Canis lupus familiaris: one gene and its partners. The protein of the gene in region 1 binds, or shares a complex with, the protein of each later gene. Links are inferred from orthologs where the notes say so. Each region holds a gene or a part of one and is shown in the gene's direction. Other genes may lie near its edges.

Region 1 (7,475 bases):
CCAGGGCCATGACCCCAAAGAGCCACTGCAGCCAGGGGACCGGAATGAGCCACAGGACCTGGGGGCGACATGGGCAGCTGCCTACCAGGCCTTCCCCATGATGCCTGGTGCCCTCCACCCCTGGGCCGCACTTACCACGGTGGGGATGAAGACAAAGAGGGAGTAGCCGTAGATGCACACGGTCTCCAGGAAGGTGTAAGGCCCCATGCGCTCCCGGACACCCTTCCGCCACCGCAGGAAGCCCCACAGCGCCAACGGCACCAGCCAAACATAGCAGTAGATGGTGACGCCAGCCACAGTCACTGTGGAGCGCGGGGCAAGGCAGGCAGTCACCCTTGGGGCTCTGTGCACTCCCAGCCCCGGCAGGTGCCAGGCCTAGCCCACTTCACTCACCCTTGTGGAACTGGGGGCTGTAGTGGATCGAGGGGTCCCTCCTCTGGGCCAGCACCAGCGTCAGATTGCCAGTGATGGCCAAGACGAAAGCCAGCGTGGCACAGATCCAGAAGGGGCCTGTGGGCAGGGCAGGGTGTGGGAAGGGGCCCAGGGTTCCCCGAACAGGAGACTTGTCCCATCTCAACTGTGCTGGGACCCCAGCTGCTTTCTAGGCTCGGGGCTACCTGCACACCACCCCCCGTCACTGATGACCTGGGCTGGCTGATCCCAGAGCTGGCCCTCAGTCCCTCAGCTTTCCTGACTTTTCTATCGCCTTTGCTGTAGCTGATCGCTTCCTTCTTCTGGAACCACTCCCCATGTGCTTTTAGGACTTCATGCTCCTGCTTCTGGCATGTCACATTCCTGGCTATTCCCCAACCTTTGGGACTCCCTAACCCCTTCAATAACGGGGACCCAGCCAGGGCCGGTCTTCAGCCATCCTCTCTGTGTTCACCCCTTGCACCATCTTGTCCCGCCTCAGGGGTTTAGGTCACCTCCAGGCTGATGACTCCCAAATGTCTCAAATTTGGTCTGTGCCATGAACCACTGGCTTTATAGTCAGCATTTCCACGTCACGTCTAGGTCTCTCCAACTCCAGCCTGCCCAGCCTTTCCAGTTGGTAAATGACAGTCCCATCCTTCTAGCAGTCCCGATGGAAATCCAGGAGCCACCCTTGCCTCTCTCCTCCCGCCCGACCTCAGGCGTGTCAGGGTGTCAGGAAGTCCCGTCGGCTCTGCCATGAGATCTCTTTCACAGTCCAACCACTGCTCTCCACCTGGGGCTGGGCCCATCACCCCACACCTGTACCATGGTGGCGGGCACTGCCTCTCTGGTCTCCTGGCATCTGCCCCTGCCCCCCCCCGCCCCCCATGGCCAGAGGAAGCCTCAGAGTCCTTAACTAAGACCCCTTCTCACTGAGACGGACAAAATCTGCACAGTCTCTCCTGTCACCTCTACGACCTCATGCAGCTCACTGCTCCAGTGACAATACTGCTCCACCACTGGACCTGTGCCCCCTTCTGGAATGTTCTTCCCCTATGTCTCCTCACCTTCATCCCTAACAAGGCCCATTCTTGCATCCTCCTCAGAGATGTCCTGTCTCAACCATGCAAAATGGCAACTCCCATCCTCTAAACTGTTTGCTTTTTTTCTGAGCCCCATTGCCCTCAGCAGCCTCTATATATCTGTCTCCCCAGATGGAATGCGTGCTTCCTGCCCTCTGGGAGTGCCCCTACTTTCTTCTCAGCTGGAATCCATGGGCTGGCACTCGGTCCACATGTGCTGAATGAATTATCGAGCTGAACGTACACCACCACTCACCATACAGGTCTGGCCGATTCCGCAGATGGTGCCGTACAAAGTTGTGGCCAGGCCGGGGCAGCAGTGAGCCTCTGATTCGGTCCAGGACCTGGGGACAAGGTGGGGCCCAGAATGGGAGCCTGCACAGGGCCAACACACACATCCCTCCACCAAAGAAAGAGGAAAGGGCTAAGCTCCTGCCCTTAGGGGCTCCTTCCCTGCTGAGCTCCCATCTCCTTGCCTGAAAAAGCTTGGATGTTCCCTGAGTTTTTGATGCCCCTTTCCCTGGCCAGCCCCAATACCCTAGCGCGCTACTGCTCTCAAGGACTCTTCCGGGTTGGTCATCTTTCTCCTTGCTTCTCCCTTCTCTTAGCTTGGCTGCCCTGAACAGCCTGTTATGTTGTGACATGCCTGGACCGTGAGGTGGGGAACAGTCAAATCCTGGGCATCCTCCTGCCTACCTCTCTTTCCACTATATTCCTTGTTCTGCACCCCAGGTTTAAGGCCTGGGGTCTCTGAGCCACCTTCCTAATTCAATTCATTCCTCTCCCGCTCTAAGCCCTTCTGTGGCTCCCCAGCACCCTCACGATGAAACTCAAACTAGCACAGCGTACGAGGCCTTTGTGGTCTGGGTTCTGCCTGCCTGTCCCCCACCTCAATCTCCAACCAGATCAAGTGACAGGTAGCTCGTGACACCTTCTCTCACCTTTGGCCCTCTGCATCTGCTGTTCCCTGCACCTGCCATACGTGCTTCCCTTCACGTCTCTGCACATTCCTCACCTCCTCCAGGAGGCCCTTCTCTAACCTGCGTGACTATATGCAACTGTGTTCCCACGAGCCCATCACACCATAATCCTGACAGCGCACCACAGTCCACCAGCCCGTGTAGGGGCCCGTGTCCTACCGCCTGGGCATCACCAGCATTCTGGTGTCTAGGAAGGGCTCAGTGAACAGTGGCTGGACCCCCGTGTGACCGCAGGCCCCATCCCACCAGCTTCCCGGGCCTGACCTGGGATGTGTCCACGTCAAAGAAGCTCTGATAGTAGCTAAAGGTCCAGAATCCGGGCTGCTGCTTCTCCTCCTGCAGGAGCTGCAGGGATGGCATGGGCTTTCAGCGGCTGCCCTTCCCGCCTGGGCGGAGCGCGGGGGCAGGGCTGGGTGCAGGCAGGGCCTGAGGCTCTCACCGCAGTCTTGTCACTCTCCTCAGCCTCCTCAGATCCGTAGATACCACCCGAGTCCACCTCCACCGCCACGTGCCCCTGTGGGGCCAGCTGACCGCGGCCACTCGTGGTGGCCGCATCTGGGGTCTCCGCCAGCAGACTAGAAGCTTCCTCGAACTCTATGGAGAAGGAATACGGGACAAAGGCATGTTTTGGGAGTCAAGACAATTTGGTTTGGCCCACTGCTCGGCTGGGGGACAACACTCCACCTGGGGCTACCTAAGGGCCCAGCTTCCTAAGTTTTGGGGAGTTGTAAGGTGTGTCCCCCCGCCCCACAAGGGCCCACCACTTAAGGCTGGTTCCGGGATGGGGTCAGGTCTGGGACCGAGGCTCAGGCTGGGAGCGGGGTTCGGGTCAGGGTCGGGGCTTCAGGCCGGCTGTCGGCGGGCACCCGGGTGGGAGGGTCCGGGCGGCGGAGGGAGTAGGAGCTCGGGCCAGGTCGCCGCCCACTCACCGTGGAAGGCCAGCTCGTCGGCCGCTGCCATGGTCGCTCAGGGGCGTCACCGCATCCCGCTCTGAGGACAGAGGCCAATGACGCCCGCCCCCAACCACACTCGGTGCCCCTCCCCCCAGGTCCATCCCTCAGCCCGGAGCCCAGCCAGGCCGCTAGGGCACCGAGCGGGGGGTGACCTCGCCGCCCCCGCCCCACAGGTGCACCCCGCCCCCCTCACCTGAGGCTCCCTCAGCCGGCGTGGCCCAGGCTCTCTGCGCCTGCGCGGCCCGCCTCCCGGCCTCCGCCGGCCGCGCTCCGACCCGACAGCAACATCCGGCAGCGGTCCGAGTTCCGTCTTGTTCCGATGGGAAGCCACTTCCGGCACCGTCGACGCTGGCGCAGGAGGCCCCCGGGCCTTTTACTTCGCACACGAGGCGTTTCGCTTCGGAAAACGGACTCTGAGCCGGAAGAGAATGGCGACGGCCGCTCTGAAGAGATTGTGGTCCCGAAACCGTGAAGGATCTGGTGGCCCGGCGGCCGCGAAGCCGGGCGTGTGGGCGCGGCTGGGTGAGTAGCGGCGGGCGGCGGCGGGAGGGTGGCCACGGCGGCCTGCTCTCACCTGTGTGTTCCGCTTCTCCCTCAGGCGCCTGGGCCCGCGTGCTGCTCCGAGACTACGCCGAGGCTTGCGGGGACGCGGCGGCGGCGGCGCGGGCCCGGCCCTGGCGGGCGGCCGTGTACGCGGGGCTGCTGGGGGGCGCGGCGGCCTGCTGCGCGCTGGCGCCCAGCGAGGCGGCCTTCGAGGAGGCGCTGCTCGACGCGTCGGGCATCCTCCTGCTGCTGGCCCCCGCCACGCGCAACCGCGCCTCCGAGGACTGTGTGCAGCGGCTGCTCTGGCTGCGGGGGCGCGGCCGCCTCCGCCACGTGAACCTGGGCCTCTGCGCGCTCGTGTACGAGGCGCCCGTCGACGCCCAGGCCAGCCTCTACCAGGCTCGCTGCCGCTACCTGCAGCCCCGTTGGGCCGACTTCCCGGACCGGATCCTGGACGTGGGCTTCGTGGGCCGCTGGTGGGTGCTGGCCGCCCGGATGCGCGACTGCGACATCAACGACGAGGAGTTCCAGCACCTGCCGGCCCATCTGCGCGTCGTCGGACCCCATCAGCTGCATTCTGAGACGAACGAGCGCCTCTTCGACGAGAAGTACAAGCCCGTCGTGCTCACAGACGATCAGGTTGACCAGGCGCTGTGGGAAGAGCAGGTGTTGCAGAAGGAGAAGAAGGACAAACTCGCCCTGAGCCAGGCCGACTCCCTGGTGCGGTCGGAGGTCCCCAGATGAAACCCAGGCCTGGATCCGGAAGGGCGCGGAGCGCTGGCTGACCGTCCACCCGGGATGGCATCCGCTGTGTTTTAGCCTCAGATCCAGAGTGACTTAAATAAATTATGTGCACAGTGTTCTTTCCCTGGGTTTTCACAACCTTTCCGGCCTCTCTCCCGCTCATCTGGTTCCTTGTTAGTTGAAGCTGATTCAGAGTTAGCTTGGTCTAGGCCTAACCTTGGGTCAAGGAGTTGGGGGAGAGCAAAGCGACAAGACCAGGTAATGTTTATCACTGCCAGAGTTAATAATGAGCCTTATACATATATATATAAGCCTTTTTTACTGAGCTTCCCAGTCCCTCCACCGAGGTACCACATTTGTCAGGTGACTCCAAAGCTCTCCTAATACCATTCAGATTTTCACTTTATTTTTATTTTTTTAAAAAAAGAGTTTATTTTATGAGAGAGAGAGGCAGAGGCTCCCTGTGGTGAACCGGATGCAGGATTCGATCACAGAACCCCAAGATCACCACCTGAGCCAAAGGCAGACACTCAACCACTGAGCCATCCAGGTGCCCCCAGATTTTCACTTTAAATTTGGAATTGCAATGTTTATCTTCTTTCATTTTCATGAGTAGCATTTTTAATTATTTCAAAATAAAGTTAAAAAGCAGTTTCAGAAGAAAGTGGAAAAATAACCCAAAGACATTCTGTGTATCCTTCACCCAGTTTACCCCAAATGGTAATGTTTTACAATAAACTACAGCAAACTAGGAGATTGCCAGTGGTATGACTATAGATTTTACAGGGAATCTTTCTGCAAAAACCTTCCCCCCCCACATATGACAGTGATATCAAACTGATTTGGAAGGATAAAGCATTTTTTTAAAAAATCTGGAATTAACTATGGAATCACAGATTATTATTTCAGTCACCCTGGAAACCCAGAATACTATTGAATGGAATAGGTTAGTCTACAGAGCTGGTATTTAGGTTGTGATAACCCTACTTTAAAAATGGATAGAGGAATGAGATTACCTCCGTGAACCTAGGTGACCCATGGCTGGCTCAGTGGGAAGAGCAAGACTGACTCTTGATCTTGGGGTCATGAGTTCAAGTTCCATATTGGGTATAGAGATTACTAAAAAGAAAAGTAAAAAAACCCCCATGAGATGAAGCAACCATCTTTGCTGTGACGTTTGAGTTCATGTATTTTGTCATTCAGTTTTGGTACTCAGACTTTCCATTGTGGGTATGCTGGACACATGGTGATTTTTATATCCTTATTTTTGGGACAGGGGAGCATCTTGTAAATCAACATCTTCATTACAATGGAAAAAGTGATGTTCAAAAAGCTGATTTTTCCAAGGCTGTGGCAGAGCTATGATTCAAATGGTAACTCCCAACCCTGTGCCTTAATCCTCAAACTTGGGGTACTGTATTGGATCCTAGCAACATCTTGCCAGGAATTATTAAATGCTGCTATCATTAGCCATAAATAAAACTTGAATACTGAAATAAGTGAATATAGAAATGAAACGTAATGGGAACAAAAAGCAAATGATACTAAACTATGGTCCTATACTGTTACCTGCCAAAGGCTCTGGGCCTAAATCCGGATGTTTTTGTTCAAGACAGATATTAACCAACTTCAGGGAAAGCTTTAAGACACATCAGCATCAAAGTGAGACTTGTTCTTCACCGTGATCAGTGAGAGCTGCACTTGCTCACTGCTTGTGTTGGTTATTAAATGCCTCTTCTAACATTCAGCCAGAGTGTGTTCTGTGCAGTCCCCCTACAGCTGTGAGGAGTTGTTGGCAACAAACTAAACAGCTCTCAGTGTTCTAGGGATTTAGGGGCTTAGTGTAGGCCTAAAGTCTATGTGGTTTTGTCTTTGGTTGCAAGATTGGCTTTTCCCAGTGGAGTCTTACCATATTTTTGCTTCCCTCTCTAGTACCTCTTGCCTTCTGAGTTGTAAAGCTCATGGACTGGAACTGGTAGATGGAACAAGGACTGGGTGTTGGGGTGTACACAGGCTCCCAAAGGATGGTCTTGTTCGCTGCTGAACTCCCAACACCCTCTAGTGCTCAGTCCAGTATGGGCCCCAGCAAATGCTGAGAGAGTTAAATGGGATGATGCCTGTGTTCATTGTGGGCAGAAGCTTGTCTGGTCCTGCTGGGGAGAGGGAAACAGTGCAGGACTGGCTCCTCATCCTTTGGTCAGCCCAGAAGAGATCCCCCAGGCTTCACCCAGTACCAGAAACAGCAAGGTGGACAAACTTTCTCTTCATAAGGGCATTAGGGTCTGGGGAAGAAGTGGGACTTAAAAATAGAGTTTGGGTCTCAGCTTTCACACCAGCTTTGTGATTGACCTGGGCCGGAACAACTAGGTAAGAAAGAGAAAAGCCATCCAAATTGGAAAGGAGGAAGTAAAACTTACTATATGCAGATGACATAGAAAACGCTAAAGACCCCATCAAAAAAACCCTGACAGAGGGCAGCCCGGGTGGCTCAGTGGTTTAGCACCTGCCTTCAGCCCAGGGCGTGATCCTGGAGACCTGGGATCGAGTTCCGCGTCAGGCTCCCTGCGTGGAGCCTGCTTCTCCCTCTGCCTGTGTCTCTCTGCCTCTCTCTCTCTATCTCATGAATGAATGAATAATATCTTTAAAAAAAAAAAAAAACTGACAGAACGAATGAATTCGGGGGTGCCTGGGTGGCTCGGTAAGTTAAGCATCTGCTTTTGGCTCCGGTCATGATCCCTTTCCCTCTGCCCCCACCCTGT
Region 2 (7,431 bases), on another chromosome or scaffold:
TCGCTGGCGAATAACTAATTCCTCTTTAACTGGGCACCCGGGTGGCTCAGTGGTTTAGCACCTGCCTTTGGCTCAGGTCATGATCCCTGGGTCCTGGGGTTGAGTCCTGCATCGGGCTTCCCGTGGGGAGCCTGCTTCTCCCTCTGCCTATGTCTCTGCCTCTTTCTCTGTGTCTCTCGTGAATAAATAGAAATTTTTTTTTTTTTAATTTTCCTCTTTAACTGTTCCCTGTTCTCTCTGGCCCACTGAGATGCTTCCCTGTTGCCTTGTGATCGGGACAGACAATGTGACGTGGGGAACCAAACTGTAACACGAGGCTGCTGGATTCCCAATGATGCCAGGGCCAGATAGAGTCCCCAGACTATTGGCAGAGGTTCAGCCCTGGGAAACAGACATGGGAAACCACTTTTCACTTTCAGAATATGCTTGGAGAGGTTCAAGTTTTCCATCAGAAAACTACCTATGGAAGGAAATTGGGTGAGTGGAGAGAGATACCAGATCAGTGTCTGTAATTGTTCTCTCTCCATCTATGATCCAGGCCAAGGATGTTCCATAAAAGGCTCCCTCATTCATGTACCTTGGCCACATGGAATTTCTTCACATGCTGACCTGGACCTCACCTGAACTCTAATGAAGACCCTTCATTTGGGGATTGATTATTACTCTCTAAGTAGTTCCATGGGTTAATTATTTAGACCATTCCTTGTTTTCCAAGGCCACCTTACCTGGGACTTGCCAAGGGTGGGTGGGGGGTGGCTGTCCCAGGTTCTCTCAGATCCAACTGTAGCTCTGAAGATCTTGGCATGGGGCATCTGAGTGGCTCAGTTGATTAAGCATCTGCCTTTGGCTCAGGTCATGATTCCAGGGTCCTGGGATCGAGCCCCTTATCAAGCTCTCTGCTCAGTGGGGAGCCTGCTTCTTCCTCTCCCTCTGCCTCTTGCTCTGCTACTTTTGCTCTCTATCAAATGAATAAACAAAATCTGAAAAAAGAAAAAAAGACTTCAGCATAAATCAGAGCTCTGGGCCCTTCATTCATCTGGAAGGAAAGGGTGGTTGCGAGGGCATGTTGAGTTAGAGGTGCTTATGGGAAGTGTCTGGTTCCTGTGTTTATGAGAAGGGTCTAAGCTGAAGATGAAGATTTGAGAGTCATTTTTTTTTTTTTTTTTTTTTTTAGATTTGAGAGTCATTAATGCAATTTGAGGTGGAGTAGAAGCCACGAAGATGAGTTGCTCAGGTAGAATGAGCTGCGGAGGAAGACGGTAAAGGATGAAGCCCTGAGAGGACCAACAAGAAAAGGCCACGCAGAGGTGCGTGCAAAGGAGATGGAGCATCTGGAGAGGCTGTAGCAGAACTAGGAAAGAGGGGCTCCACTAAAAATATGAAGAAACTTCAGACAAGAAGGGAGACAACAGTGTCAAATGCAGTACAGAAGTCTAGTAAAATCAGGCCTGAATTAGATTCAACAACTAGGGGACTCCTGGTGGCTCAGTCGTTTAAGTTTCTGCCTTCGGCTCAGGTCATGATCCCAGGGTCCTGAGATCGAGCCCTGCATTGGACTCCTTGCTCAGCAAGGAGTCTGCTTCTCCCTCTCTCTCTGCCTCTGTGTTCTCGCGCGCTCTCTCTCTCAAGTAAATAAATAAATCTTAAAATAAGAGATTCAACAACTGGGAAATCCCTGGGGACCCTCAGACCAGCCCACTCAATGGCTTGGTGGGAACAGAATCAGGGTGAAGCATGAGGTAGGAAAAGACATTAGGGTTCAAAGCCAAGGGTCGAGAAAGAATTCTTGAAATGTCTTTGGTGCAAAAAGGTGATTTTATGAAAGCACGGGGACAGGACCTGTGGGCAGAAAGAGCTGCTCTGGGGTCATGAGGAGCGGCCTGTTCATATACTTTAAGTTGGGAGGGCTTAGAGACACCTTAAGTCTCTAAGGAATTTTGGAAGCAGGGTTTCCAGGACCTTGATGGGGTAGCTATTGTTGGGAAAAGGCCATTTACTACTGTCTGATACAATAATGTCATGGGCCCCTTCAGATGAATATTGTTAGGTCATATGCTTGGGGGATGATCTCCAACATGTATCTTGGGGGGTTAGAGATAAAGAAAATTTCTAAAGGAATTTCTATATGTTAAAGTAGACTTACAGGATCCTAAGATTCCCTTCTGCCCTTAACAAAGTATCAACATGGAGGCATTGAGTCCCTAGAGGAATGTCACTCTGCCTGTTTCAAGGTCTTGTCACTGGGCTGTAGGGAGTAAGAAAATTTAGCAATTTTTCTTCTGCCTTTGTTTTCCACATCAAAGCATATGCTGTGCTGGGATGCACTGAGAACTTCGGGTACCAAAGAAATATCTCTGCCCACCTCAACTGGCTATGCTCACCACCTGTTTCCATTAAGGTTTCTCTTAGCTAAAACACTCAAATACATTGCTAGTCTGGACCAATGCAATAGTGTGGAATCTATTTTAGTAACATAAAAACTAGTGCAAAAGTTTTTCTGGATTCATGCATAGTACTACCTTACAGTTTACCTTCAGGTTCTGAGTCTGCAAGCTGGTGAGCACTTTAATTGGTTTCACATAATCTAAACCTGGCTTTCCAGGGCAATGCTAGTCCCACATCACCAATTCCACCGACAACAATAACTGGCTGGAGCGTGGGTAGGGGCCCCGGCCTTGCCCTCTCCACCTCCTTTTCTTTTTTTTAATTTTTTTTTTATTTATTTATGATAGTCAGAGAGAGAGAGAGAGAGAGAGAGAGAGAGAGAGGCAGAGACACAGGCAGAGGGAGAAGCAGGCTCCATGCACCGGGAGCCCGACATGGGATTCGATCCCGGGTCTCCAGGATCACGCCCTGGGCCAAAGGCAGGCGCTAAACCGCTGCACCACCCAGGGATCCCTCCACCTCCTTTTCTTACACTTAGCTAGCTTCGCTCATTAGTTCACTCATTTGTTGGGCCCCTTCTCTCTCCGCAAGGGTTTAATTGTCAAATAAAACATATATTGCATACACTTATACCAGGCTTTTACGTTTATTCACAAAGCACTTTCCACCATTTACCTCTCACCACCCCTGCGAGGAAGGAGTAGGCTGGAAGGGCAGCGGCGCGGTGCGTGCGCCCCCTGGCGAGGCTCCGGCGCGCTGCAGCCTCGCGGGGGCGCTCCTCCGCCCCCTCCCCGCAGTCGGGAGCTCCAGACGAGGCCCCGAGGCGCGCGCCCGCGCAGAGCCTCCTGGGAGATGCCTGGGCTATACAGATCGCGGTACCCCCCGCGCTGCCGCCCTGACGAAGAGGGCGCTTTCTGGTGACTCTGAATCTTGTTCATTAGGGCCGTTTGGATGCTGCACAAGCCTGACTCGGTATTGACAAGGGGCTTTTGGGGAACATGGTATCTCTTTCGCCGGAGGCACGAACGGACTTCGCTGGCGTCGTTTCTTGCACTTGCTCGTTGTGGCGAATCTGCCGTTGCGTCACGGGGGCTAGGCGCGCCCTAACGTGAAGCTTGCGGAATCTGCTGTGGGAAGAAGAACGCCAGGGTTTCTCGAGCATCTGCAGTCATGGCGACTACCCCCAGTACGGGGGCCTCCGCGCCGGAGGCAGCGGGTTCCGCCGAAGCCCCGCTGCAGTACAGCCTTCTTCTGCAGTACCTGGTGGGCGACAAGCGTCAGCCCCGGCTGCTGGAGCCCAGTAGTCTGGGCGGGATCCCGAGCCCGATCAAGAGTGAGGAACAGAAGATGATCGAGAAGGCGATGGAAAGCTGCGCCTTCAAGGCGGCGCTGGCCTGCGTGGGAGGTGAGGCAAGACTAGGGGGCCCGGTGGGAGGCTGAGGGCTTGCACGGCAGCGGGGTCCTCTGCCAAGAAGACCACGGCCTGGGAGGCGAGGAGCCTGTGGACCTCGCTCCTGACTGCACCCCTGCCTGGATCCGTGAGCTCGGGTGACCCCTCTCTAGGCCCTGAGGTTCTTTTTCGCCCCTGGAAATTGGGTCAGAGAATCGGTACCATATGGGTTGGGGCCTAAAGGTTATAAAATGCCTGCCTTCATTCGTTGGTTCGCTTTTAAATAAGCATTCTTTATTTTTTTTTTTAAGATTTTATTTATTTATTCATGAGAGACACAGAGAAAGAGGCAGAGGGAGAAGCAGGCTCCATGCAGGGAGCCCGATGTGGGACTCGATCCCGGAACTCTGGGATCATGCCCTGAGCTAAAGGCAGACGCTCAACTGCTAAGCCACCCAGGCGTCCCTAAATAAGCATTCTTTCAACGAGTTGTTAAAAGTAACCGTCACGTGCTCAGGGGTGGAGGGACAGGGTTAGAGACCAGAGCCAGGTTCTCATGAAGCTCACATTTTAATATATATATATATATATATATATATATATATATATATATATATATATATATATATATATATAGAAACAAGAATGTTGGGAAGGAGCCAGGCAGGAAAGTGGAACATGGGGGAGCAGCAACTGCCAAGGTCCGGTAGGAGCTGGCTTCCTGTTTGAAAAACAAAGGACAGGGGTACCTCTGTGGTTCAGCAGGTTAAGCATCTGCCATCAGGTCGGGTCATGACTCCAGGGACCTGGGATCCACCCCGCCTTGGGGCTCCCTGCTCAGCGGGGAGTCTGCTCTCTCCCTCTCCCTCTCCCTCGGCCCCTCCCCCAGCTAGTGCTCTCTCCCTAGCTCGCTCTCAAATAAATAAATAAAATCTTAAAAAGAAAAAGAAAACAAAGGCCAGTGTGGACAGTGTGATTAGATGGTGGGAAACAAGGGGGAAAGACTCCCCCCCCACACACACTTTTTTTTTTTTTTTAGACCTTTTGAAAAAGGATTTGAGAGTGTATGGTGTCCCTCCTGTAAAGAGGTTGGCCACATTTGCAGATGAGTTGAAATCTCATGAGAATGAAAGACAAGAAACAAATACAGTGGGAGTGCAGGTATGTAGTAGAAAGAGAGCAGTATTTTTATGGTTTGGGGAAGGCTACAAGAGGTGAGACTGCAGCTGTATCTTGAAGGATTGAGAGAATGGGGGTAAAGAGGAGGAGAAATGCCCTTTCAAGTTGGAGGTGGAGTTGGGGCTTTGGGCTTTTTTGTCTTTAGGCATTAGAGCAGTAATTGATGCACATGATGACCCAGCATAGAGTGTGGTGAAGAAAGAAAGTGTGGGTGGGAAGACGGCATAGGGAATTTGCAAAACTGAGGTGCAGTGCAGCCTGGCCTTGGTGTTTGTTCATCATTATGTCCGACCCTACTACATCACTTACATATTTGTTAAAATGATGAATAAGTCTTTGTAATGCTCTAGAGTGGGAGTGATACAGGCCTTAGACTAGGATGATAACTGTGAACATAGGGTTGTAGGGGAAAGCAAAGAACCGGTCAGAAATGCCCTTCAGCTTTGGAGTTGGAGTGCCTGGAAAGAAGGAAGAAAGTCTGGAGGGAAGGTGCCCATGACTTCATTAAACATATTTTGACCTTGGGGTGATGAGAGGACATCTATATAGAAGTGTCTAGCAGGCTCAGAAAGATGGGGACAGCAGTGTATGGTTGCTATTTGGTAGCTTTGTGACCTTAGGAAAGTTACTTAACCTCCCTGAGCCTCAGCCGATTCAGCTGTAGAATGGAAAGGGTAATAGTATCTACCTCACGAGACTATTGTGAAGAATAAAAGGAGCTGTGACTATAAAGCATCAGAGTGATTGGAGCATGGTACTCACTAAATGATAGTTATGAATGTCACCATTGTCAAGGGAGTGATTTGCAAAGTTGAGAGTTGAATGTATGAGTACAGACAGAACAGAAGGTTAAAGATCGAATCTTCAGGAATGTTAGAAAATGAAAAGAGGAAGAAATCAAAGACTGAGAAGAAGATGTCAACAAGATAGTTTACGGCTTGTGTGATGTGCAACCAGATAACTGGAGAGTTTGGTAAGATGGAGTAGGGGCGGTAGGTAGGGGGTGTCCTCTTTGCTGGTAGCCAGCCAAATGTGCAATTCGAGTATGACCTCATTACAGTAACCCAGAAAACATGCCAAAGAAGTCTTCATCTGTGTGTCTTTTTAGGATTTGTCTTGGGAGGTGCCTTTGGAGTGTTCACTGCTGGCATTGATACCAATGTGGGCTTTGACCCTAAGGATCCTTACCGTACACCGACAGCAAAAGAAGTTCTGAAAGACATGGGACAGAGAGGAATGTCTTACGCCAAAAATTTTGCCATTGTGGGCGCCATGTTTTCTTGCACCGAGTGTTTGGTAGAATCTGTAAGTGTCTCTGCCTTCTGAGAAAGACTTGTACCATCTTATGACTTCTAAAGAGCGCTATTAATTAGAAAGCAGAGCAGAAATGTCTGATACTTGCTAGATTGAATTTTCATTGAATAGTTCTGAATGTAAACTTTTTGTGCATTTATTGCATTTACTTGGGCTTGCATTGTTTTTTACGTTTCTTTGTAGGCTAGAATTTGGTTAATGATTTATTTTTTAAATTTTGTAAAATTCTAGTTAACATACAGTGTAATATTAGTTTCAGGCATACAATATAGTGATTTCCACACTTCCTTTTTAAAATTTTTTTTATTTTTTTATTTTTATTTTTTTTCACTTCCTTTTTTTTTTAAAGGTTTTATTTATTTATTCATGAGAGACACACAGAGGCAGAGGGAGAAGCAAGCTCCATGCAGGGAGCCCGATGTGGAACTTGATCCCGATATCCCGGGACTGCGGGATCACATCCTGAGCCAAAGGCAGACGCCCAACTGCTGAGCCATCCAGGTGTCTGATTCCACACTTCCATACAACACCTGGTGCTCATCACAAGTGCGCTCCTTAATCCCTATCACCTATTTCACCCATCCCCCACCCCCTCCCCTTCTGGTCACCATCGGTTTGTTCTCTGTAGTTGAGTTTGTTTCTTGGCTTGCCCTTTTCTCTCTTTTTTTCCCTTTGCCTATTTGTTTTTGTTTCTTAAATTCCACATGAGTGAAATCATATGGTATTTGTTTTTCTCTGACTTATTTTGCTTAGCATAATACTCCCTAGCTCCATCCATGACATTGCAAATGGCAAAATTCTTTTTATAGCTGAGTAATATTCAAGTGTGTGTGTGTGTGTGTGTGTGTGTGTGTAAACATCACATCTTTACCCATTTGTCAATAGATGGACACTTGTCCTGTTTTCATAATTTGGCTATTGTAGATAATGCTGCTATAAATATCGGGATGCATGTTTCCCTTTGAAGTAGTATTTGTATTCTTTGGGTAAATACCTAGCAGTCTGCTGGATTGTACAGTAGAGCTTTTTTTTCTTTTAAGATTTTATTTTTAACTACTCTCTATACCCAACGTGGGGCTCGAACTCCTAACCCTGAGCTCAAGAGACACATGCTCCACTGACTGAGCCAGCCAGGCACCCCAAGAGTTCTATTTTTAACTTTC
Region 3 (6,695 bases), on another chromosome or scaffold:
CAAATCAAAGCAGTATATTCAAAAGTTGGCAGGTCAATCTGAAAATTGGCAGATGAAGTTTGTAGTGAAAATATTGGTTTTAATGTTAATATTCAGAGTGTCAAGGGATTTTCTAATTATAAAAGTGATGTATGTCCATTGCAAAACATTTGGAAAACATAGCTCCCCGTATCTTCTAAATAAATTCTTGTATGTTAAAGAAATGTAAAAAAAAAAACAAAACAAAAAACAAAAAACCCAAAAAAACAAAACCCTAAAGTACTAGGGTGACCAATTTATATGATTATGAAAATGAACTTGGAGGGCAAAGCCTCTCTACACTGAAGGCAGACTGTTTCAGTAAAATGCATCTTTACTCTTGCTTAAGGGAATAATTTCAGTGGTGGAGTAGTGGGTGCATTTAAGAAGAGTAGCAAAGCTCTACTACGTTAAGTTGTAGAGTCAGGGAGAACATAAACTGTTTCCAGCATTTCTTCAGTAAACAGTTATTAAATATCTAGTGGGGCCAGCCCTGCTGTCTGCTTGGAGTGTTCAAAGTCAAATAAGACAGGTTTCCTCCCCTCCAGGAGGATCCACGTGCAGGGAGTGTGAGGGGCAAGTAAGCCCCGTGGTCTGGCAAGTGCAAGGACAGCGTATGGAAAGATAAGGTGGGGGCAGACAGGAGGCAGCAGCCCTCCCAGGGCAGAGAACACTTATACTGGAGTTTGAATCTGTACAGGACTAGAGCAAAGGCATTCCGGGTGGAGGAACCAGGCTGTGTGAAATGGCCGTGATGTCACACAGCTGCCAGGGCAGCCGAGCAGCAGGGAGGGGGTGTCGAGGGAGGGCTAGGCATGGCAGGTTTGGATGTGGCGTCTGACTTTTACCATGAAAGCGTTGGGGAGTTGCTGAGTCTTAAGCAGGGGAGAGATAGGACCAGGTCTGCATTTTAGAAAAGTTATTTGTCAGGAGTGTAGACAAGAGATTGCCTGCCGGTAGTTGAAGGCAAGGGCACCAGACCAAAGATTGTTCAAGGCAGGTGAGAAGCGATGAGGTCCAGCCAGGATGCCAACTGTGTGTGCTGACAGCAGAGGGTGGGTGAAAGGGGTCGTGAGGTGGCCCCTTTGAAAATGGGGGATGAGAGGAGTCCCTGGTTTCTGATCGGGGCCTAGTTCACTAACTAGTTTTCTGTTAACACTGACAATATTAGAGTAGGATCAAATTTGTGGAGAAAGGGGATGTTTTCAGTTTGGCACATACGGAGGTCAGCCTCCCTGTGGAGACAGGCGGAGATTCAGTTGTGACTTAGGTCTGAAGACACAGGTGTAGACGTCCTGAGTGCTGGAGTGGTGTTGCAACTCGGGGTTTGACGAGGTTGCCGTGTAGAGCAAACGAGCCCATGGTTAGCCCCGAGGACTGTAGGCATTTAGGGAACCACGGAGCTGCCCGTGGAGCACTGAGGGGAAGGGGGTCCCCATGAGGGTCACACACACGCCAGCCCCGGGAGTGGGAGTGTTGGGACAGGAGGGCACCCACTGAACGGGGCAGCCTCAGCCTCGGAAGCTCTGCTCACCTCCGAGGGGGCAGCTGAGCCACATTGAAATGCCAAGACAGTGGAGGGGGACCGCTCCTTCAGGAGGCCTGACTTGGAGAGGAGAGAGCTAGGAAAGGCCAGAGCTAGTGAGAAAGACAGGCCATGGACTGTTTAATTGCGTAGAGAGAGCGCAGTGCCTTTCTGCCCTGAAACAAAAGACAGGAAGAAAGGGAAGAGGTTGGGGCACCTGGGTGGCTCAGTGGTTGAGCGTCTGCCTTTGGCTCAGGCCATGATCCCAAGGTCCTAGGATCGAGTCCCGCATTGGTCTACCTGCAGGGAGCCTGCTTCTCCCTCTGCCTGTGTCTCTGCCTCTCTCTCTCTCTCTCTGTCTCTCATGAATAAATAAATAAAATCTAAAAAAAAATTTTTTTTAAAAAAAGGGGGGGAGCAGGTGAGAGACAAGAGACAGACGCAGAGCCTGACTGAACCTGCAAAACTCAAACACAGGTCGGAGGGCATGGGGCCCTTGGTACTGGGCCAGCCTGGGATGGAGGAGGGGATGGGAGAGAACTAGAGCCAAGGTCCAGATGCAAACAAATGAAGAGAGGGTTAAGGCAGTTCCCACTGTCGTCCTGACTCGCTGAAGCATGGGGAGCCAGGGAATATGTTGAAAATGAGGTGGGCGCTAGGGGTTGGGGGGATCTTAAAGAGAGATGAAAATAGGGAGGTTTGGAAGGATCAACAAGTAGTATTGAGGACCTGAGACCAAAGATTTGTTGTGGCACAGGTGCGCCCTGTTCCCTGAGTCAGTACCAACCTGGAGTATTGTTTGCCCATCTAGTAACACTGAGCCACAGAGTGCAAGTACAGAAACCTAGTGACAAGCTCGATCCAGAATAGGGGCTTCTCAGGGCACATATTATGTAACACCCAAAGACACATGAGGACCAACAGTGATGGGAAAAGGGTGATTTAAAGTAATCAACTTCATTAAGCACTGAGAGAAAATGGTGTATCCGGGCCTGGAATTCTCAAAGTGATTAGAAATTTGGTGTGGGGTCGGAGCTTCATGGGCCAAAAATCACACCCATCTCTTCCTCTTCTGAGTTTGAACCAAGTTATGAAAGCCAATGCAGGAGCTAGGCAGATGGAGATCAAAACACCAGCTTTATAAATGTCAGCAGGAGAAAAGGACACAGCTTAGATAATGCGGTCACAATCCGATTTCCAGATACTCCAAATTGAATTCATCCCCTTAAAATGTCTCCTTTAGGGCAGACACTGCTATAGGAAGACAACTGTATGAGGAAGCAGTGAGTCCCCAGGACAGCCACATTCAGATGGAGAGGGAGAAGGGGAGGGAGGGAAAAGCCAGTTACTCCTTTATAATTTACTGCATGAGAACCTGAGACCAAGGCAGTGGGTCACCCCAAGAGACCTGTTCAGTACAAAGGAAGCAGTCAAAAGAACAGAAGAATATGGGGTGTGGCTACAGAGTAAGACGTCAAGGTTTTAGGTTTCTAAGGTGGAATAGTTCTGGGTAACGAGAAGGACCAGGATGTGGCCATGGAAATAGGTGGCTGGGGACTTAGGGATGACATCAAGGGTTGAGTGGCTAGGGTGTTGTTTTAATTACTCCTGTGGACACTAATGAGACTGGACTGGGGTGTCAGGAAGTAGAAGACAAAAATCTAGTCTGAGAATGATGGTCTTTGAAGCCTTGGCTGGATGGCAAAGCTAGCCTAAACCATTCTGGGCTCCGTGTGGAATAGGATTCCAGAAGGGAAGAAGATATTTGATGCTTCGATGCATTTCATTTTTGTGTCACCATCTGTAAACCAAAGATAAATTTATTATGGAATGATTCTATGCTCATTCATACTGATTTTTTTTTTTTTTTTTTTTGAAAAAGTATAAGCAGTGGTGGTTAGTCTGCTTGGACTTTTCTGCTCTGTGATTGTGAGAGCAGTGGAGGCAGCACTCACCGAGTTCATGGTTTTCAAGATCAGCCTTCAGTAGAAAAAGAAAGCTTGAGGATCCCATGTTCCAAAGCAGAGATAAATTATTAATTTGCTTTCAGGCAGGTGTAGGTAGATTAACCTTTGCAGAGACCCTCCTAGAGTTTGGACATGGGTGTGCATGACAAGGTTTTCTCTCTTCACGTTAAAAGGAGTGGCCTCAGACACATCAAGCCTCAATCTCGTACATGGGACCTACAGAGAGACCTCCCAGTGGAGCAGAAGAGACCCCTCCACGGCCATCTTTGTACAGGAGAATATTACGAAGGCTCGCATCGTACTGGGCACAGCCGCAGGATGGTGAGCCACATTCTGGTTGCAGAGCCCTGGTCAGTTCGGGATGTCCGAAAGCAGACCCCCAAATCAGTGTGAGACATGTGGTACAGGAGAGGCCTTTCAAGAATCATTGAATTTTCCTTCTGTATGCCACAGAGTGGGACCCAAACCAACACTGTGCCATGAATGGAAATAGCCTGGGTCATTGGTGACAAACCATGGCTCCCTCTGTCACTGACCTTTATGTTACTGTGGCTGCTTTAATAGATGTTTTGTGTATAGATGTTCCATTTGAGCCTGGCTCTTCATCCTGTGTGTAAGAAACTATGAAATAAATAAAACTGAGGTGGAGAATCAGGGGGTAGGTTTGAGTGGCCAAGCCAAGCAGCCGGCAGTTCGCCATTGGTGGGAGAGTGGTGAGATGTTAGCAGAAGAAATTGACCTAAATCTAATGCCCCCACACAGCCCTTTCACAAGAGGTGAGCCCCAAGGTCTGGAAGGAAGTGCAGCTGTCCACCATTGAACTGTCCATCACAACGCGGAACAGTCAGCTTGACCTGACGGTAAGTGTGCCATTTTACTAGCAAAACATTTGGTATCTGGGAAAAGTGACAAAGACTACATGGCCTTCCGCTAATCGGGTATTTTTTTTTAATCGGGTATTTTTTATTTTTACCCTTTTGGGGGAGAGAGGAAAAGATTGGGGAAAAGAGGATGTAGTGTGGTTTTAAGGAATAATAGCAATGAGAAGAAACAGCAGAGTGAAGCAGTAGCTTCAAGATTTGCAGGGTCTGAGACAGTATTCTGGGCGCTGCTTAGTAGCCACCAAGCTTTCAGCCTTTAGAAATGGAAAGTCAGCCTGCTCCCTTTTGTCTCTGGAATAAAAAATTGAAGAACTTTTACTTGAGCGAGTACCCATTATTCTTGTGACTATATTAAGTATGAGGATTTAGGTCCCCAGAAGAAAAAATATATATATACACATATATAGACAGTCTACTCTGTTGACATGCACTGTCCAGTACGGTAGCTGCTAGACCCGTGGCTATTTGTTTTTATTGTATTTATTTATTTTTATTTTTAAAATTTATTTATTTTTATTTATGTATTTATTTATTAAAATATTTTATTTATTTTTTCATGAGAGACACACAGAGGCAGAGGGAGAAGCAGGCTCCATGCAGGAAGCCCGATGTGGGACTCGATCCTGGGACGCTGGGATCATGCCCTGAGCTGAAGGTAGACGCTCAACTGCTGAGCCACCAGGCGTCCCAGCTATTTGAATTACATAAAATGGAGCACTCATTTCAAGTGCCCATTAGCTGTATGTGGCGAGTAGCTGCCACATTGGAGAGCAGATACAAAACATTTCTGTTAGTGCAGAAAGTTCTGGATGGCACTCCTATTGACAAGGCACCAAAAAAATTCTTGAAATAAAGCAGAGGTTGGCAAACTGGTCTGCCACCTATTTTTGTGTAGGTGGCACACAAACTAAGAACTGATGTTACATTTTTAAATGGTTGTGAGAAAAATCAAAGAATAATTTGTGATACACAGAATATGAAATCCAGGTCTCATTCACATAAGTAAAGCTGTGTTGGAACAGCCACATGCATTCACATACATGCTGTCTGTGGCTGCTTTTGTGCCGTGACTGCAGAGTCAAGTAGTTGCCACAGACTCTCTGGCCCAAAAGCCTAAAACACTGACTCTTTGGCCAGAAAGTCCAGAGTTTTCTGACCCCTGCTGTAGGAAAAAACCTAAGAAGTTTGTATTAGCGAGCATGCAAATAGAAAAGTCACCCTGCCCTGTGGGCCAAATCCTATGATGAGGTTTTATGCAGATCCAGGTAGTATGTTTACAGGTGACCAGGTCAGTCTGGAAACTGCATGTGGACTTGAACATGGTGATTGATGAATGTACGCAGGCAGCAGGGAGGTTGACTCTGACATTAATGGAGTATCGAGTTGTTTTCTAATTAGAAAATGTAAGACATGTCTATTGTTTAACATTTGGATAACACAAATTAATTCCAGTTGGATTGAAGGATTGAATTAGGAAAATAAAACCATGAAAGCACTAGAGTGAAATCAAAGTGTTTATCAATATAAGCTCGGGGAGGACCAGGCCTTTCTAAGCATAGTGTCTAAGGCAAAATTCATATTGATGCATTTGTCTACTTAAAACTGAAGAAACTATAAACAACATTTTTAATGACACATTGGGAAAAAGAATGTGATAGAGCAGGAGTTAAAGCTTTCCTTTATAACAAACTATTAAGAAATAGGCAAAGGACTAATATAAATAACAGGCACAGGACAAGAATAGAAATTCACACAGGAAATAAACATGGAAAAATATCTTATATTTGCTCAATATGTACTATATGCTAGGTACTGCCCTGAGAATTTTGCATACTGTCAACTCATGTAATCCTTATAACTGCATCATCAGGGAGATATAACTTTTATATGCATGTAATAGGTAAGGAAACCAAAAAAGTGCCCATATCAAAGAAATGCAAATTAAAATAACAACAGAAGTCCTAAATTAAGCATGCTTGTGTTTGCCATGTGGGTGGGGAAGTGGGCACTCATGCATTTCTGCTGGAACTGCAAATTGCAACACCCTTTCTTGATGGTGTCTTGGGGTCTCTGTGAAGCATCCAAAATAGACTTAATAGGGTCCAAGGGCGTGCTTATATTTCTAGGAATTTCTCCTCCAGGAATAATCAGATGCATATACATATGTAGTGTAGCCATTCCCTTCTTTCTTACATAATGGAATTCTGGAAACACTGGTGAACATAAAGGTATTAAGGTCAGAAAAAAATAGATTCTGTTCTAGAGGAATTTCAAAAAGAAAGATAAAATTTCTAATTCTACATT
Region 4 (7,278 bases), on another chromosome or scaffold:
CCAGGATCGAGTCCACGTTGGGCTCCTTGCATGGAGCCTGCTTCTCCCTCTGCCTGTATCTCTGCCTCTCTCTCTTTCTCTGTGTCTCTCTCATGAGTAAATAAATGAAATCTTAAAAAAAAAAGAAAGATTCATATAAATATCTCCACAATCTGGGTGGATAACCATCCCATTGCCACAAAGATCTCCTTTGTTCTACCCCTTTATAGGCACACCTTCCTCCCTCTTCTCACCTGTATGGCTCTAACCCTTGGTAACCATTAATCTCTTTGTCTCTATAATTTTGTCATTTTGAGAATATTATTTAAATGGAATTATATAGTATGCTTTCGTAACACCTAATAAAAATCCTTTTTTTTTTCTAATAAAAATCCTATCGAGGAAACAGATTACACTTGTAAGAACTCGTTTTCCCATGCGATTTCTTTTTTCTTTTAAAGATTTCATTTATTTATTCACGAGAGGCAAGGTCATAGGCAGAGGGAGAAGCAGGCTCCTTGCAAGGAGTCCAACGTGGGACTCCATTCCAGGACCCTGGGATCATGCCCTGAGCTGAAGGCAAGCTCAACCGCTGAGCCACCCAGGTGTCCCTCCCATGCAATTATATTCCATAATATGTTGACTATATTATTAAAAGCAAAAACCACTACAACATGTGTCCACTAAAACATACATACAATAGTATTCACAGCAACATTGTCCTAACAGCCCCAAGCTGGAAACAACCCAAAAATCTATCAACAGTGAATGGATAAATTACCTGTGGCTCATTCATACAATCTAACATTAGACAGCAATAAAAAAGAATGAATAATGGTTACACACAACAATGTGGATGAAATCTTAGACGCTACATTGAGCTAAAGAAGTCAGGCACAAACCAGCAAATAGTGTATGACTCCATTTACCTGAAGTTCAAGAATAGGCAATAGAAGTCAGAATACTGGTTAACTTTGGGAGAGCCGGTATTGACTGGTCAGGAACATAAGATAACTTTTAAGGGTGTTGGAAATACATTGTATTTTGATCTGAGTGGTGCTTATGAGCATAAATATATATTTAAAAATTAAGCTTAAATTTTATGTATTTTAGTCATTTTCCTGTATAGATGTCATACCTTAATTTTATTGAAAAAAAATTTTTTTTAAGTAACCTCTACACCCAAGGTGGGGCTCAAATTCAGGAGGATGGCTGGGTGGGGGGTGGGGGGAGGTTTGGAATCAAGAGTTGAATACTCTACTGACTGAGCCAGCTAGGGGCCCCTGTTATACCTTAAATTTTTTTTAAAGTGTGTGTCTATGAATTGAGAAATATTTATTTTATTTATTTTTAGTTTTTAACTTTTTTATTTTTAAAGATTTTATTTATTTATTCATGAGAGACACAGAGAGAGGGGGGCAGAAAGAGGAAAGGCAGGGTCCATGCAAGGAGCCTGATGCGGGACTCCATCCCGGAATCTGGGATCAGGCCCTGAGCCAAAGGCAGATGCTCAACCACTGGGCCACCCAGGCGCCCCTATTTTATTATTTTTTTAATATTTTATTTATTTATTCATGAGAGACACACAGAGAGAAAGGCTCCATGCAGGGAGCCCTATGTGGGACTCCATCCGAGGTCTCCAGGATCACACCCTGGGCTGAAGGCGCCGCTAAACCGCTGAGCCACTGGGGCAGACCTATACCTTACTTTTTTTTTCTATACCTTAATTTTAAAAAAGATTTTATCTATTTGAGAGAGAACGCACGCGCTCAAATGTGCACGTGGGGAGAGGCAGAGGAGGGAGAGGGCGAGAATCTCAAGCCCATTCTGCACTGAGCTGGGGGCCAGGGCAGGGCTCTGTCTCATGACCCTGAACCGACCGAGCCACCCAGGCACCTCTAGCTTAATTTTCAAGGATTGGGGCACCGGGTTTGCGAAAGAGGAGTCCTTGGAGGAGACATGAGGGCTGAATTTAGGATCCTGACTTTCTTGGGCAGTGAGGGAAGCATACAGTGACCAGCCATACAGCGTCCGGCCCACCTCCTCCAATGGGCAGCGGACGCTTTGCATCTTGTACACTTTGTTTACTGGGAAATCCCTTGAGAAACAAAAGGATTGGGGGCGGGTTTCTGTGGTGTAGGGGTTCAGATGGAGCAACGCACGCACGGGGTCTGGAGAGAGCAGCTCACAGCCCCTTCCTCCTCCTCGCTCTGATGCACTAGGTTAGCCCCGGCGGCAGCCAACGTTGCTCTTGTTCATCTCTCTGGGCCGGGGCGTCTGGAAGTTGCGCGGACCCGGCTCGTCCTCCTGCGAGCCCGGAGACAGCTTAGCACCTGCGGGCCGCTGCGCTCCCTCCGTCCGGGGAGCTCTGGCTCGCAACCTCGGCTGCACCAAGAAACCGCCCGAGGTCAACTGAAACATTTACTGAAGTCTGCGTCCTGCTCCCAGAGGTTCTGATTTGCTTGGTATGAAGCGAGGCATGGGCATCGGGGCACTGGGAGCGGCCCGGGCGACCGTAACGAGCAGCACAGACACTACGGCCTTGGAGGGCGTCCTTCCTTCTCCGCGCCGCGCCGGGGTCTGTGACCCGCCGTCGAGCCTCGGGGGCTGCGGCCAAGCTTCGCGGAGCCCCGCCCTCCGGCGCCCGCCTACAGACAGTCGCACTGTGACCTCTCCGCCGAAACCCTGGGGACGGCACCGCCAGGCTGCAGGCGCTCTGCACTGCGCCCAAGCCTCTATGGTATTTTGGCGTCCCCTCTAGCCCTTGCAAGTCGCCTTCGGGCACGGCCGGCGGCTCCTCTCTATGGTAGCCGATTTCCCCGCGCCGCCTCGTAGGGGCTTCACTCCGGAAGCGAGTCCGATCAAAGGGGAGGCGGGACTTCCCTCCCGGAAGTGACCCACGTGCTTCCGCCTTAGCCTACCTGGGCGTGCGGCGGCTGTCTAGCGTTTGCGCGAAGTTGAGGACACCGCGGGCACAGTGACTGGCCCCAGGCCGTGGTAAGTGACCGCTCGCTTCAAGGTGACCCCGATGCACCTCGCCGCCACGTCAGAGGTGCAGCCCCTGGGCCGGGACCCGTGGACCTTTAGCACCGCGTGTGATCGAATTCCCAGGGCCCTGGAGGTTCAGGCCCCGCGGTTCAGTGTTCCTTTCCGGTCCCGAGATCTTTTCCTGGGTAGAGTGGCCACGAGGGGCTGGGGCGCCAGGGCTCGATTTCCAGCCCCTCCATTGACGTGCTGTGTTCCCCTTCCGGGCCTCAGTTTCCATATCTGTGAGATGGGATAGTTGAGCCCACTGAGGTCAGTGACCCCTGCCCGCCCGGTGTCCTATGATTGTTCCGCATCCTCTACGTCCCCCTGGGATGGGAAACGGAACGGGAGGGCTCGAAGCTGACGGTGATGTCCGCTCCCAGGACTAGGAGGCCAGGAGATCTTTCCCACGGCGCAGCGCTGAGATGGATCCGCTCAGGGCCCAGCAGCTGGCTGCCGAGCTGGAGGTGGAGATGATGGCCGATATGTACAACAGGTGAGAGCCGACAGCGCGCTCCTTGTCTTTGACAGTGATCCTAGGTCACCCTTCCTCAGGGCACCTGTCGGAGGGTGCGCACCCCCACCTACGCTCCTCGTGGCTGAGGGCCAATGCAGACGCGGTACGGGTCGCTAGAAGGAGTTGGACATCTAGGTTGGAATGCACTTGGCAAGCGAGAGAAGCCCCAGTCCAAGCTCTGGTTGGCTTTCAGGAACGGTTGAGCGTTTGCCTTTGTGGCAAACAGCACGCAGCCCGCTTGGTGGTTTACATTTCTTAAACTCTTACTCCACCTCGGGCACATGCTGAGCATTCTACGCGCCTTCATCTTTTGTGATCTTCAAAATGATCCACCGGGTCGGTCTTAGTTGTCCCATTCTAAGGTGAAGACATGGAGGCTTCTAGAGGTTAAATAACATTCACAGGGCTCACAGTTGGTCAGTAGCAATGTCAGGACCAGGACCTCGGTCTGACTCCAAACGAGTGCCCACAACCATTTGGCAGATGCGGGAACAAATCATAACTGCGCCAATCACCACTAGTGTGGCCGTGGGCAAGTCACTTGGACTGCTTAGTGGTTTTCCTGTCTATAAAATGGAGGTGGGGCACATGATGGTGCAGTTGGTTGAGCATCTGACTCTTGATTTCATTGCAGGTCGTGATCTCAGGGTCATGGGATTGAGCCTCACATTGGGCTCTGCACTCAGCAGGGAGCCTGCTTGACATTCTCCCTCTCCCTCTCCCCTGTTTGCCCACACACATGCCCGCGCAAGTGCTCGCTCTCTCTTTCTCAAATACATAATACTAGTTCTTTTTAAATAAATGAATAAATATTGCTTCTAATCCTTTTGGCTAAGATCAAGTGTAAAAAAATAAATAAATAAAATGGAGATAATAATGGTGCCTACCTCAAGGAGACATTATAGATGTTAAATGTAGAAATGTGTGACAAGGGGTGCCTGGGTGGCTTAGTCGGTTAAGTGTCTGCCTTCAGCTCAGGTTATGGTCCTGGGATCGAGCCCCACGTCCAGCTCCCTGCTCAGTGGGATGTCTGCTTCTCCATTTCCCTCTGCCCCTCTCGTTGCTTGTGCTCACTCTCTCTCTCTTAAATAAATAAATAAAATCTTTTTTTTTTAAAGATGTATTTATTTATTCATGAGAGACACAGAGAAAGAGACAGAGACACAGGCAGAGGGAGAAGCAGGCTCCTCGCAGGGAGCGTGATGACTCAATTTCAGATCCCCGGATCACAACCTGAGCCAAAGGCAGATGCCCAACCACTGAGCCACCCAGGCGTCCCATAGATAAATAAATTCTTAAAAAAAAGAAATGTATATAACAAGCTCTTATTGGGTTTGTATCATGCCCAGTACAAAGTAAGCAGTCCACATGTTTTCTGGTTTTATTGGCTTCAGCTCCATGGTATTTTCTCTTGATGGCTTATCTTGAAGGCTGTATATTAGAATACTTCCAAATATTTAAATAATTTAAAAATGCAGGCCATGAGGTCCTGTGGGTTCATATCCCAGCTTTACAGGATCCTGAGGCTCTCCATGCCTGCATTTCCTTATCTGTAAAATGGGGATAAAGATTGTGCCTGCCTCACAGGGTCATTGTAAGGACTGCATAACCAGCCATGTCAAGCACTTAGCATGATGCCTGGAACATACCCAGTAGTCAACTAATGGCTCCTGTTTAAATAAACTTGGGCTCAGATCAGGTGAGCACTCTCAAGGACCTTCTCAGTTAAGATGCGAACTGAGGATTTACACTGCCTTCCTGGGATGTGAAATTAGCAGGGCAGGCATGATGGAGAGTTCCTGGTTGCCTCAAGATGCTGCTGAGCTGACCTTGCCCTTCCTTCCCCTCCAGAATGACCAGTGCCTGCCACAGGAAGTGCGTGCCTCCCCACTACAAGGAAGCAGAACTGTCCAAGGGCGAGTCCGTGTGCCTGGACCGCTGTGTCTCCAAGTACCTGGACATCCATGAGCGGATGGGCAAAAAGTTGACAGAGTTGTCTATGCAGGATGAAGAGCTGATGAAGAGAGTGCAGCAGAGCTCTGGGCCCGTGTGAGGCCCCAGACAGTATACACCCCAAGGTGTGCCCTGCCCCTTCCCACTCGCCTAATAAAAGTGCCCCTATTGGGTGTCATCTGTGAAGACTCCCGGGCCTCGGCTCCCTCTGGAGAGCCTCCAGGAACCCAGAGTATGGTAGAGTTACTCTCCCCGGTTGGAGAAGGGGTATTTGTCACACTGTGATGTGACTGTGTATGTACGTGTATGTGTGTGTGTATATATTAAAACAGATTTGTTGACACCTACCACACGGAAAGCAGTCTGCCTGGCATTTGGGAGCAGGGGCAGCAGACACAGCCTCCACCAGCAGAGGGAGTCTAACGTGTTTAAAAGCACAGACTAGTGGGAAGTTTTAGGTTGTACTCCAGGTCAGCCACTTGCTGAACATGTCACTTCACTGTGCTTTAATTTTCTCATCTGTGAAAATGAGGATAATCATCTGGTGGTTGTGAAGATTAATGGTTTAATACGTTTATGGCATTTAGAATGCTAACTGGGACAAAGGAAGTGCTCAGTAAATACTAGCTGTGTACATGTGTTTAACAATTTAAAATTTAAGTGGAGTCAGGTGGGCAGTTTTCCAGATAATAAAGGAATATTTAGAGGAGCAAGTAACAGGAGATGGGATTTGAAAAGGAAGTAGCCAAGCCAGTCCCTGGATTCTAAATGGCAACATGAAACATACGAAGGGTTCAGCTTTGTGTGTGATGTGAGTGATCAGGAAGTAAGTGAAAACCACTGCCATTCACTGTTCACCTGAATCAGGGACTGCACTCCTCACTCTGCATGTGGTATCTGATCTAGCTCTTTCTACCATCTTTCTGGGCCGCAGTATTGGTGCATGTGAATGTCCTGGCAGATGTTCCACAAGAGCATTAACAATGCTGAAAAGAGGGCAGCCCAGGTGGCTCAGCGGTTTAGCGCCACCTTCAGCCCAGGGCGGAATCCTGGAGATCCAGGAGATCCAGGGTCGAGTCCCACATCAAGCTCCCTGCATGGAGCCTGCTTCTCCCTCTGCCTGAGTCTCTGCCTCTCTCTCTCTCTCTGTGTCTCTCATGAATAAATAAATAAAATCTTAAAAAAAAAAAATGCTGAAAAGAGGCAAATGCCAGGTTCTGATTAGGCCATGCTCCAAAGTCATTGTCTGGTTTCTACTTGTGATGATGAAGCATGGTTACATTGGCAAATTTGAGTTTATGGATAATTGCAGAGCTGGGAAAATTGTGAACCTCACGGGCAGGTTTAACAAGTGCGGAGTGACCAGCCCCAGATTTGATATCCAGTTCAAAGATCTAGAAAAATGGCTCCCGTCCTGTCCTGCCAGTTTGGTTTTATTGTCCTGACAACCTCAGTTGGCATCATGGACTGTGAAGAAACAAGATGAAAACACACAGGAAGGAAAATCCTGGGATTCTTTTTCTAGGGAGGTAATATGTACAAATAAAACGCCTATTCCATTCAGCTGGGCTAAGGGGACCTAGTAGGCAGGGGGGTGCTCAGAGCAGTGGTTGCTTGCTTGAAGTGTCATGAGAGGAGCAGGGGCTGACTGCTACACTTGCTGTCTTGCTGAGACCAGTGCCTCCAGTTCTGAAGTGTCCTGGAGAGCTGGGCAGCTTTCAGAATGGCTCACTCTCTCTAGGTGGGATTTTGGTTGACACTAATGCCACTGTGGCTGCAGTGCCTTCAGAGTAGGGACAAGT

Evidence for each region.
Region 2: TIMM29 (region 1) and TIMM22 share a complex: the UniProt entries of both Homo sapiens proteins name them as parts of the TIM22 complex. The link is inferred for Canis lupus familiaris from reciprocal best matches to the Homo sapiens genes TIMM29 and TIMM22.
Region 3: the proteins of TIMM29 (region 1) and AGK are in contact, whole or in part, in a cryo-EM structure (PDB 7CGP), measured with the Homo sapiens proteins. The link is inferred for Canis lupus familiaris from reciprocal best matches to the Homo sapiens genes TIMM29 and AGK. Residues at the interface, in NP_612367.1 of Homo sapiens: Tyr145, Gln146, Cys149, Arg150, Tyr151, Leu152, Gln153, Arg155; in NP_060708.1 of Homo sapiens: His33, Asn36, Arg39, Arg40, Cys43, Gln44, Gln47, Asn51, Lys82, Pro86, His89, Leu90.
Region 4: the proteins of TIMM29 (region 1) and TIMM10 are in contact, whole or in part, in a cryo-EM structure (PDB 7CGP), measured with the Homo sapiens proteins. The link is inferred for Canis lupus familiaris from reciprocal best matches to the Homo sapiens genes TIMM29 and TIMM10. Residues at the interface, in NP_612367.1 of Homo sapiens: Asp181, Asp183, Ile184, Asp186, Phe189, Leu192, Leu196, Arg197, Val199, Gln203, Leu204, Ser206, Asn209, Glu210, Leu212, Phe213, Asp214; in NP_036588.1 of Homo sapiens: His30, Arg31, Lys32, Cys33, Pro35, Pro36, Leu43, Ser44, Lys45, Gly46, Glu47, Ser48, Val49, Arg53.

Annotation. Positions count from the first base shown.
Region 1 is NC_049241.1:50,723,046-50,730,520, reverse strand, and holds TIMM29 (mitochondrial import inner membrane translocase subunit Tim29), read left to right. Parts: upstream 1-3,631; 5' UTR 3,632-3,857; coding exon 3,858-3,951; intron 3,952-4,027; coding exon 4,028-4,716; 3' UTR 4,717-6,459; downstream 6,460-7,475. Other genes in the region: protein YIPF2, read right to left, coding at 1-58, 136-302, 394-510, 1,753-1,840, 2,741-2,821, 2,916-3,070, 3,406-3,436. UniProt on the Homo sapiens protein: Component of the TIM22 complex, a complex that mediates the import and insertion of multi-pass transmembrane proteins into the mitochondrial inner membrane.
Region 2 is NC_049230.1:44,795,328-44,802,758, reverse strand, and holds the start of TIMM22 (mitochondrial import inner membrane translocase subunit Tim22), read left to right. Parts: upstream 1-3,233; 5' UTR 3,234-3,555; coding exon 3,556-3,790; intron 3,791-6,062; coding exon 6,063-6,259; intron 6,260-7,431. UniProt on the Homo sapiens protein: Essential core component of the TIM22 complex, a complex that mediates the import and insertion of multi-pass transmembrane proteins into the mitochondrial inner membrane. In the TIM22 complex, it constitutes the voltage-activated and signal-gated channel.
Region 3 is NC_049237.1:7,354,445-7,361,139, reverse strand, and holds part of AGK (acylglycerol kinase, mitochondrial), read left to right. Parts: intron 1-3,683; coding exon 3,684-3,831; intron 3,832-4,272; coding exon 4,273-4,370; intron 4,371-6,695. UniProt on the Homo sapiens protein: Lipid kinase that can phosphorylate both monoacylglycerol and diacylglycerol to form lysophosphatidic acid (LPA) and phosphatidic acid (PA), respectively. Does not phosphorylate sphingosine. Phosphorylates ceramide.
Region 4 is NC_049239.1:39,104,443-39,111,720, forward strand, and holds TIMM10 (mitochondrial import inner membrane translocase subunit Tim10), read left to right. Parts: upstream 1-2,475; 5' UTR 2,476-2,976; intron 2,977-3,389; 5' UTR 3,390-3,431; coding exon 3,432-3,502; intron 3,503-5,374; coding exon 5,375-5,576; 3' UTR 5,577-5,828; downstream 5,829-7,278.